Linked DNA regions of Caenorhabditis elegans. The protein of the gene in region 2 purifies or fractionates together with the protein of the main gene of each other region. This does not show direct contact. Each region holds a gene or a part of one and is shown on either strand. Other genes may lie near its edges.

Region 1 (5,504 bases), 5.6 Mb from region 2:
AACTGAATTATTAGAAGAAACACAACATTCACACAAAACACATTATAATCTAAAATAGGAAATATATATTTAAAAACACAATAAACTGACAGCTGAAAACGAACAAGAAGCTACGCTTTTTAAAAATGGAAGAATATGAACCTCGGCCATGTGTCCATTTGTGTACTCCCCGAGGACAAGTTGGATCTATTATTTGCAGAGATATTGCAGTTTTTCGCTAAAAAGCATCATTTTGGCCAATTTTTTTCTTAATTTGCACAGTGTTTTAGGTGAAAGTCGACTTAAAAAACAATTATTTCACGTTTTCGGTAATTTTGAAATGTTTGTAAATATATCGAATTTCACTAAAAAAAAACCAGAATTTATAGTTTTTAAAGAATAAATAAAACGATTTTCACAAAAAAACAAGCATTTTTGCTATAAACTGTGAAATTATTGCAAAACAATAAATGCAGCTTTCTCCTCGAGGAGTACACGAGCTCCGTAAATCGGCACTTGACCATGATAGAGGTTTTTAAAATCATTCTTTCATATTTCAAAACAGAGGAAATTGAAAATGCGCTTCCATAAACCAACACCATCACCTCTATCACAACTTTTAATAGAATTATTTTTTCTAGAATTAATTCTAAATTTACGAAACCAAAAATAAAAAAAATCACGACAAAACTGTGCTGAAAAGAAGAAAAAACTTAATCATTTCGAAATTTTTTAATTCGTTTAATACTCACCAAAATCCCAAAACTTCGAGGTAATTTGAGGAATTGGAGTTGATTGGCCTGAAAAATCGTTTTTTATCGGAAAATTTCTCCCAATTTCCTCTCACTTTCTCTAGCAGAATCTGCGTGTCTTTCTGCTTCTAAATGTCGTCTTGCACGTGCCATATTTGCAGCAATCTCTTCTCTTACACTAGGCTCACGTCTTCCATCAAGAGCTCTTTCGGAGCCACGTAGATTATATCCCATGTCACGGAGTTCAATCATTTCAACGTCCAGTGGAGGTTCTGAAAATTGGCTAGTTCTGGTTTAGTTTTTAAGGTTTTTATGAAAACCGATGATCGAATTAGTTGAAAAAAAAATCAACCACTTTCAGAATTTTGAATACATGTAGCATGGCAGAAGAAAACTTTTTTTTCGAAAAAAAAACACTTTTTGAACATTTTTCTGTTAATTATTCGGGGTTTCTTGATTTATAATTTTTTTTTGCAATTTGATTTGGAGCGTGTTTTCCGAAATTTTCAGGCATTCAAATCAAGCAGTTGTTTTATGATTTTTTCTATATTTTACACTTTTTTAATAACTAGAATTTAAATAAAAACTTACGTTCTGATTCTCTGTACAATTCATCCACTGAATCATTGATTGTTCTTGTAACCACAACTGGATCTGTTGTATCAAAAATCATATGCAGATAGGCGACAACACTCTGAATATTAAAATATACATAATTTTCAAACGTTTCTGAAATTTACCTTAATAACAGTGAAAAAGAAAACAATAAATCCAGTATATGAAGCAGCAAATACAAGTGAGACACCTTGAGAAGCGACAAATCCAAGGATAAGGGGAAGAATAATAAGTATAAACCATACGTAGAGATGCATTGTGTTGCAGAATATTGAAAAACCCGGTTCATAGTACCTGGAAAATTTTGAATATATTGGAATTTAGCTAAAGAAAATCAATAATTTAATTCTATAAAAAAACGAAGCAATTTAATCAATTTTTAGAGAAACTTTATGAACCTGTTTTCAACGAAAAAACTTTTTTATTGTTTTAAAATGAATACTAACCATCCACCAGTGAGCGATGCCCAAATACCCTGTCGAATAACCTCGATGATGTGTGTGCCAACACTCATCGTGGCGGCTCGAGAGCTTCAGACTCCAAAATCGCTCGATTTTCTCCGGTTTTACTCTGCAAAAATCGATATTTCTAATGTATTTCTGGTTTTGTTCGGCAGAAAACTAAAAATCAATCAAAATTCAAGCGAAAAGGCTTTTCAAAAAGTGAAAATCAATGAAATGTGAGCAAAAGCGAGCAAGCTGAAAAAACAGAAAAACAGACGACAATGTACGCAAACACCGTGTGTGACGCGCATTTGCGGACTCGGAAAAACTTTTTTTGGCAGGCACAGAAAGTGGAATATCATGCTGAAAAGATGAAAATAATGATAATTGCAATTGGAAACATATGTAAAAATGTTTTTAAAAATTTTTATTTGAAAAATTGAGTATGTTTAATGCGCAACTTCGGTTTAACTTAAGGATGTTCAAAAAGTGAATTTTTATTCTATTTACACAGAATGACTTATTATGTATCCTCTGATGAATGTCTTGTTGTTACGGAGGAGATTTGTCTTTTCGATATGTTTCCTGGAAATTTTACTATTTTTTTTTCAAACTTGAATCAAAAGTTGTTGTAAAAGCTTGATTTTGTTTATAAAATTACGCAACAAATTAAGATGCGTCTTGTATACAAGGTTAATAGATGAAATAAGGTATTTACAATTGAAAAGTATACAGAAAGTTTCGGAAAGTTCCAGAAATTTCTAATTAGCTCTAGAAACTATCGAGAAATATTTGTTTGATAGGAAAAGTAACTAATATTCAGTTGAATAAACATAAAGTTCCAAAAAATATTATAAAACTACGAGAAAGTTGCTTTTTAGTTGTTACAATGTTTTGGAAATCTACAAATCAATTTTTCCGAAATCCAAATTCTCACAACCTCTTCTCCATTTTTCTCTACATAATGACCCTCTAATACCGTTCGTCTTCCCGCTCGGGTCACTCGGAATTGAACAAGGTCGTCATGTTCAGTCACTTTCCTTTGTGTCTCGGAATCTCTTGTGTCTGTGGAAAGGAATACATATCCTCCATATTCTTGTATTATAATAAGTGGTTGTCACTGTCTCATACAGTCCACTCGTATTTCACCATATGACACCTTTATTCATATTCTTAGTTCTACTAACTTCACAAGGTAGCTTTTTTTTATCCAAGGAATATGTCTACCAACCGACAGAAATTTAAATTTGCTCCATTTTGAAACGGTATATCTCAATTCATTTTGTAGATATCAATTAAAATTAATTACAAAACTATAGAAAAAGAATTAGAAATTATTTCTTCAGTTGAAATTTTTTTCACTAAACAAAAGACAACTGAGATATGAGCAACCAAAGTTGACCAATGGGATGCAGCACTGATTGAGAATGTACAGTCTACTACTTGAAAATCACTTTAGCCAATCGGACCCAAAAAAACCCAAAATTCATATTGAGGCCGTTCAAAAATTGCTCAATAATTGAATATTTTGTGGACTATCTATATATAGAACCTGTCATTTGATAGGAAACCTTATGAATGAGTCCATATAGAAAATTTCTGGAGAACTTTGAACTTGGAACAGTAGATCTTAAAATTATTCAGGTCATTAATTGTGTTTCCCAAAGTATTTTGATGGGTGGAAAAGTTTCTAATTTTTCACAAGTTTTTAAAAATTTTCTAGAAAATCTGCTTACTAAGTTGCCCTGTGTGTACAATTTGCAAAAAATGCGAATTCACGGGCCTCTACTGAATTTCAGATTAAATTTGTATTTGAAGTTTTTTTCCAGTTCTTGGTGGTCTGAACAATGGAGCATCCTCGAAGAATGTAGGTGGGAGAAGGCAGCCAACTGGTGGAGGAGGACTTGATGAAAATATTCCTGTAATTGAAATTCGAGGAGAAGGAGCTCCGATGAGCTCAGCTCAAATTAGACATTTAGAGGAGATGGATAATGGTGGTCCATTGGATATTAAGGTGAGTTTTATGTGTATAATTACGCTTACTTGGAGTTTCCTACTTATTGTAACTAGGTACTACCCGGGACACAACTTACCCCTTTTTCCAAAAACATCTGTGTTTCCATCACATAACTAAATTAAAAAAAAATAAATGTAAGGTTTTGATACCTGCAAATTTGATTTTAATGATTCAAAATAACTGCATTTCCAGTGCGACTCAACTTCTTTCAAAAACAACAGTCAAGTTTTCAGATCGAAAAAACGTTTGTGCCAGCCAAGTGCCCTCAACAAGCAAAACGACTGGACTTTGTAACTTTCCATTACAAGGTAACAAATGCACACTTCTGAAAACATTTTTGATTTCAATTTCCAGGTGTTCACAGAAGATAACAAAAAAGTATATCAAACATATGGAACTGGTCCAGTCACAATTCAACTTGGAACTGGAATGATTATGCCAGGACTTGATAAGGTGAGCATTTTAAATATTCTACCGTATTTCCTATATTAGTTTTGAATCCCTTTGCTCAACTTTTACAAATCATATCTCAGTAGTCGTTTGTTCTATAGAAAAGTTGTAAACTGATAAAATTTTTGTGAGATATTTTTCTATAGTTTGTAGTTTATTAATTATTTAAAGGTTCAAAACAAAATGAAATATGAGCTGCCAAAGTTGAGCAAAGGGGTGAAAACTAATAGAGGAAATACGGTATTTGAATGCTTAGCACCAGGTTTTATGTGTTCTCCGGTTTGGCTAAAGTTGAGTAAACCGGTTTCCCTGTTTATGTTCGTTCGAAATAGTTATTCTTGACAAGTAACCTACTTTGCTTGTTTTCTTGAGAAAAATGAAATGATTGATGGAACAATTTTTTGTTTTGTAAATTTTCCACCACGGCCGCCAGTTTAAAAAATGAAAATGTACCAATAATATAAACAAACAAGCAAACGCAGCATTTAGGCTCGAGGAAGGCAGCCTACAAACTTACCTATGCCTCAAGTTAGGCAAAGTTGTTCCAAAGCCTGAAAACTTGCCAAGATGCGCGCTGACCTAGCTTGCCTATCTAAGATCCTACCTCTGCCTACGTGCCTGCCTACGTGCCTGCCTACCTACTTGCCTAGCCATGCCCACGCAAAGTCTAAAGCTGTGTTTGCCTCTGCGTTCACCTGCCTATGCGATTGCCTTTTTACATACCTGCCTATACACTTGCCTACCTGTCAATGTTTGCCTGAATATGCCTCACCATACCTGCCTACTTACTTGTGTGCCTACCAGACTATAGCCTGAAACCATGCCAAACGCAGATTTTAATCAATTCTATAAAAAGCAAAATGCTGATTCTCTCGAAAATTTTATTTGAAAAACCTATTTTTTGAATATTTGAAGTGAAATCACAACCATTGAAAGTTCACTTTCAGAAAAAAAAAACAGTCAAATATCTATTTTTATTTCCAGGGTCTGAAAGGAATGTGTGCAGAAGAGCTTCGAAAAGTCCGTGTACCATATCGTATGAGCAGAAAGAGCAAGAGCAAGGTGTGGAAAAATATACCGAATGATGAAAACTGGCTGATTTTTAACATTGAAATGGTCGAGATCAAGCCATACACCCCAGAGATTCAGTTTAAATTTTTGGATTTGAATGAGGATGAACAGTTGACAAATAAAGAGGTTCAAGATTTCCAAAAGAAAATGAAAAAAGAATTTGGAAAGACATGGAAG
Region 2 (5,504 bases):
AACACAGAGTTGACATGTCATTTGCGATGAAATATAAGGGAGACGATTTGGAAGATGACATACCAATTTGGTTGAAAACTTCAAATGATTCACAATTCCTTGAACAACTTCTTATCAGTTGTACTGAAGTTTTCGAGGATGCAGGATCATCTCTCTGTATGACAGTTGCACGATATGTCAGAGATTTGTCGGATGCAGAAAAGACAAAGATGTTCCCACTGTTGCTTACTGCTCTGTTACGATCGAAACCATCGAAAGTTAACGATTGTTTGAAAGAAGTTCAAGAGCATGTTGAGAAAATTGGTAGGTTTTAGACCACGGGCGTCATCGAAAAATCAAAAAAAAAAATTAGAAAATTAGCAAATAAAAGGTTTAAGAACCCAAATTGAAAACCGACACCCTTGTTTTAGACTGAAATTTTGCAAATCTTGAAGAACGAACTTTTTTTTCAGCTGATCGTAAGGATGTCTTCACTCGAAACAGTCTACATCACATCTCATTCTTTGTGCCGGCTAAAGAGCTCTTCAACTGTGCTCTATCCACATACGATTTGAAGCTTGCTCAGCAAGTTGCAGAAGCTTCAAATTACGATCCAAAAGAATATCTACCAGTTCTAAACAAGCTTAATCGAGTTATGTGCACACTTGAACGACAATACCGTATTAATGTTGTACGAGAAGCTTGGATTGATGCAGTTTCCTCATTGTTTCTGTTGGATTCAAGTAAAGAAAGAGGTTCAGAAGAGACATGGTGGAATGATATTGAAGATATAATTCAAAGGGAAAAACTATATCAAGATGCACTGACCCTTGTTAAGCCAGGAGATCGAAGATATAAGCAATGTTGTGAGCTGTACGCTGCTGAATTGGAACGAAAAGTTCATTGGAGAGAAGCTGCGTTGTTTTACGAACTTTCTGGAAACTCGGAGAAAACTCTGAAATGCTGGGAAATGTCACGAGATGTTGATGGTCTTGCCGCATCAGCTCGTCGACTTGCAGTTGATGCTGGAAAGTTGAAGATTCATGCAATTAAAATGAGTACAACTCTTCGAGAAGCACGACAGCCGAAGGAATTGGCGAAGGCTCTGAAATTGGCCGGTTCGTCGAGCACTCAAATTGTACATGTTCTCTGTGATGCGTTTGAATGGTTAGACGCGAGTCGAGAAGTTGAAGTAGGAAAAGAGGAAGCGCTGAAAAAGGCTGCATTGAGCAGAAATGATCAAGTTTTGATGGATTTAGAACGAAGAAAAACTGAATTCGAGAACTACAAAAAGAGATTGGCTGTAGTTCGAGAGAACAAGTTGAAGAGAGTTGAACAGTTTGCAGCTGGAGAAGTTGACGATTTGAGAGATGATATTTCAGTTATTTCCAGTATAAGTTCAAGATCAGGATCATCGAAAGTTTCGATGGCGTCGACTGTTAGAAGGCGGAAGCAAATTGAAAAGAAAAAAAGTTCACTGAAAGAAGGTGGTGAATACGAAGATTCAGCATTGCTCAACGTGCTTTCGGAGAATTATCGATGGTTAGAGAATATTGGAAGTGAGTTTTGCTTTCCCTGGAATTTTAATATATTGTGACATATTTTCAGATGAGCTATCCCAATTGATTCTAGTTTTGATAACAGTTGGAAACTTCCCAGAATCTCTTAAATTGAGAAGCGCTTATGATGAATTTGCCACGAAGCTTCAGAAAAGCAAAGCTGCAATCTGGCCTGAAAGCCTGTCGGTTCAGCATCTTCCAGGACCACTTCATGCACTGGTAATTAAATTTGAAACGCTAAAAAATATTATCAAAATATATAAACTGACATGTGAAACGTGGCTTATTTTTTATTTTGTTTTTTATTTAAGCTCCTCCCATTTTTTAAAAATAAACTAATAAATTAAAATTTCAACGAAAGGTCAGGAATGGGAGGAGCTCCTCGAGGAGCTTAAATAAAAAACAAAATAAAAAAATCCACGTTTCACATGTCAGTTTAAATATTTTGATAATACTAATTGTGTAAATTTTCAGTTTGACCCAAACCAAGAGCCGTCGCCTATCCCAATGCCTCCCATATTCCGGCTTGAACCTGAACTTGTCGCTCCTACATCTTCATTTGCTTCAGTTTTCCCATAAATTGTTGATTTTGTTTTCTTGTATTGTTCTGTTGTTAACCGTTCTCTTGTTATTGGTAACTAAAGTTTTTATTCACAAAATTGTTCAACTTCATAGTTTAAATTTTCTCAGCAAAGGAAATATGGAAGAAAATGTTCTGTAAATTTTATTTAAATTATTCAAAGAAATTGAAAGACATTTTTTTTGGTAAAATAAAAATTTTAAATAATGCATTTCTAGGCTTCCTGAAATTAATTCTTCGCGCGCGAATGTCTCTTCGACTACAGTATTCCCGAAACCTGCACATCAAAGTGACAAAATGCGTTGGCAATTATTTACTTTTTTTGTAATTTTTGCCTAAATTTCCCGCTAAATAAATCGTGTTTTTTAAATTTAAATGAACTTTGATCCTTCTCCTTTTTTCCATAATTTGTTAAATATTTATGAAAACATTCAATGATTTTCAGCACAGCTTCACAATATGAGCAAAAAGGTGGATGGTACGTAATTAATTAATAAAAAATTTCGGTAACAAGCAACACCTATTTCAGATCTCGATCCTTCGGAGCTTGCTGAATTGACTAATGTCCTTCACCAAATAATTGAAGAACCTAGAGGTCGTGTCAGACTTGATGAAAAGCAGCTCGTCGTCGTAAAAAAAGCTGTACGGAACTTATTAATCAGAATATTATTTTTGGATCATTTTCTACTTTTCAGTACGATTGCAAAATAATCGAGAGAAAACTTGGTAACGCTATTGCATTCAACATCGAGCAGCAAAAGATCGAAGAGGTGAAACGAGAAAAAGATCGACAAGCGAAGGAAAGAGAAAAGAAACCTATCCTTCCCAGTAATAAAGTCACTCGTGTCACGTTCAAGGAACAGGATGTGAGTCGTTCATATATTTTTGAAATTTTCATTAAATAAATGTTATTTTCAGCTTTCGATTTCATTCTCCTGCGTCCAAATTAGTAGCCCAACTACCAGCAATGGCGGGAACCAACAAATTGCGAATAGATCGATGCTAAAAGCGAGTCCAAACACTACAAACGTTGATTATATCTCGTTCATATCGGAAGATGGTGGATGTGAGTTGTTGCGGGGTGTTGATGTCCCGGCAAGATTTTAAGCTATTTTTAAAATCACTGCTGGAGATAGACTCCACTTTCCAATCGAAAATTATTGACCGAAATACATTGCAGATTTGATGATGAGAAATAAAACGTTTCCTGCGCCGGATCTACTCAAAAATGAACCCCTCGGATATCCATTGGGAGTTGCCTACGACGAGATCCGTAATGATTGGCTAATTTGCGATCGAAATATGAACAAGCTACTGATTATGAACGTCGAAAAAGAGGAAATACACGTATGCAAGGGTGCCATTCAAAATCCAACCGCTGTGATTGTGTTCAAAGAAGGAGAAAGTGCGGCCATTCTGTGTTCCGATAAACCTAAGAACCTTCACAAAATTGTTATTTACAACTTCAAGGATGGAGGCGATTCGATGAATGTGTTCGCATCATACGATGAAAGAATTTACGATATGAAGCATCAATTACGCGGTCTTGCAATTTCGGTTGCCGGAAATATTCTTTCTCTCGAATTGTCATATACATCGAAACGCCTGCGAGTTTTCAAAAAAGACGTTGGAGGACGCGGTTTCGAGCTTTCTGGAGCAGTTTCCCCGAGCTTCATCGCTAGTTATCGTTCAACTGTTGCGATTTCGGATCTTGGATGTAATAAGGTGTTCATTTGCTGCTTAGACGACACAAATTGGAATAATATGTCATTCAATACTCTTCGAGTTCTCGAATCGGTTAGTTTGAAATTGAAAAATCATTTTTTCTTATTTAAAAAAACTGTGGTGTTTCTAACAATTGTAGTTTGTAGCCTGTGTTTTAGAGAACACCTTTTTGTTGCTTTTAAAGCGATTGTGGGCGGACAATGTCGAAGTACTGGATTACTGTAGTTTTGAAAAAAAATTCACTTTTGAAGGGATAGTCAGCGGATCATCGAAAGATTTTTTTCAGATAAAATCGAAAAAAAAATGATAGAAAGTTTAGAACAAATTCAATTTTTGTTTATATCGATGAGAAAGAACTTGAGAAAACATATAATTTTATTTAAGAATGTTCAATTTTTGTGAAATATCGAAAAACCAACACCCTTGACTATATGCGTATTCAAGGAAAAACGTGTTTGGCTTTTGAAGTAATTATTTCGGGATACTGTAGTTAAAAATTGAATTTTTGGTTTTTGAAAAATATTAGAGAGATGGTATGGTGTGGTATTACTGTAGCTTAAGACAATATGCACTTTTTTTTGGTATTAATATATTATTTCAATGACACAATTTTCAGTCACCTGATCTGCCGATAGATCAGCTCGCCAATGAAACTGGATTCCGATTCGTCTCCGGAATGCAATTCGACCAAAATGGCTATCTTCTCATTGGAGATGCAAAAGGTCATTCGATCAAGGTTAGAATTTTCAAAAAAAGTTTTTCAAGTATATGGAAAATTTTTAGATTTTTTTTGGTTTAAAATAAAAAATTTAAATTTAGAATATTTTTAAATGTTTCAGCTGTTCGACACTGACTACAGTTTCCTGCATCGTATCTCCAGTGATTTTCCTCTTCCCTATATGTCTTCATTCCATGTAAACAGTAAAGGCCAAGTAATTATCCTCGATGTGAACGCGGAACAGAAGCTTCACTGGGTGAAGATGGAGTCGATCGACGAAATTCAGAAATGGTTGCCACCGAAAGCTGAAAGACGTCCCACGCAAGGATTTTATCAAGCAAATGCTCGTCGAGGTGAATTCAAACGTTCACAATTTTGAGTTTTGTCGATTTTTCTGGATGTTCTCGTTTGAACCAGCATTTCATTTCACTTTCTACCCGACGTTTTTTTTATAATTGTTCTCTTTCTGTTCAATTTTTTTATTCAAATAATTCTTCAACATTCATAAACTACCTCCCCCCTATAATAAGCTCTCCCTATTAAATCAATATAATATTGACTCATAATTTCTTATCAGTTTTTATTGAGTCAACAACTCTCATTTCTAGACACTCTTTCCCCATGCATCCATCGAGGTGAACATTTGAGTTTCGATTCTTTTAATGTTTTTTATCCATAACTTTCAGAAAATCTGCATTTCCAAAACCTAAATTTGAGGTCTGGAAATTTGCAAAGTATTCCTCTGCTCTACAGATTTTTCAAATTGTGAGTTATTTCAAGTACTTTTTATCTGTTGTTGTTGAATAGTTTTAGTTTAGTAATGAACGTATTTTTAATATATATATATATATGTTTTGTGCAAGAAACCAAAAACTTAAAATTAGCATGGAATTCTAGTTTGGAAGCTTCGTATCCCTTGTGCTCATTGGACTTGTTGGCTCAC

What was found. The genes of interacting proteins can lie anywhere in the genome.
Region 1: the proteins of Y110A7A.15 (region 2) and fkb-7 fractionate together in Caenorhabditis elegans (co-fractionation; one large-scale study listed by BioGRID). This does not show direct contact.

What each region holds. Positions count from the first base shown.
Region 1 is NC_003279.8:10,665,018-10,670,521, forward strand, and holds the start of fkb-7 (peptidylprolyl isomerase), read left to right. Parts: upstream 1-2,790; 5' UTR 2,791-2,941; coding exon 2,942-2,984; intron 2,985-3,618; coding exon 3,619-3,803; intron 3,804-4,039; coding exon 4,040-4,114; intron 4,115-4,160; coding exon 4,161-4,259; intron 4,260-4,850; exon of another isoform or gene 4,851-5,000; intron 5,001-5,240; coding exon 5,241-5,504. Other genes in the region: B0511.12 (Pecanex-like protein), read right to left, coding at 732-779, 827-1,003, 1,323-1,425, 1,472-1,640, 1,793-1,860.
Region 2 is NC_003279.8:5,110,812-5,116,315, reverse strand, and holds Y110A7A.15 (uncharacterized protein), read left to right. Parts: upstream 1-2,563; 5' UTR 2,564-2,577; coding exon 2,578-2,596; intron 2,597-2,612; exon of another isoform or gene 2,613-2,633; intron 2,634-2,647; coding exon 2,648-2,760; intron 2,761-2,813; coding exon 2,814-2,984; intron 2,985-3,036; coding exon 3,037-3,184; intron 3,185-3,298; coding exon 3,299-3,915; intron 3,916-4,459; coding exon 4,460-4,579; intron 4,580-4,682; coding exon 4,683-4,940; 3' UTR 4,941-5,182; coding exon of another isoform or gene 5,183-5,196; 3' UTR 5,197-5,247; coding exon of another isoform or gene 5,248-5,326; 3' UTR 5,327-5,405; downstream 5,406-5,504. Other genes in the region: elpc-1 (Elongator complex protein 1), read left to right, coding at 1-303, 453-1,538, 1,588-1,757, 2,013-2,117; Y110A7A.21 (MARVEL domain-containing protein), read left to right, coding at 5,183-5,196, 5,248-5,326, 5,459-5,504.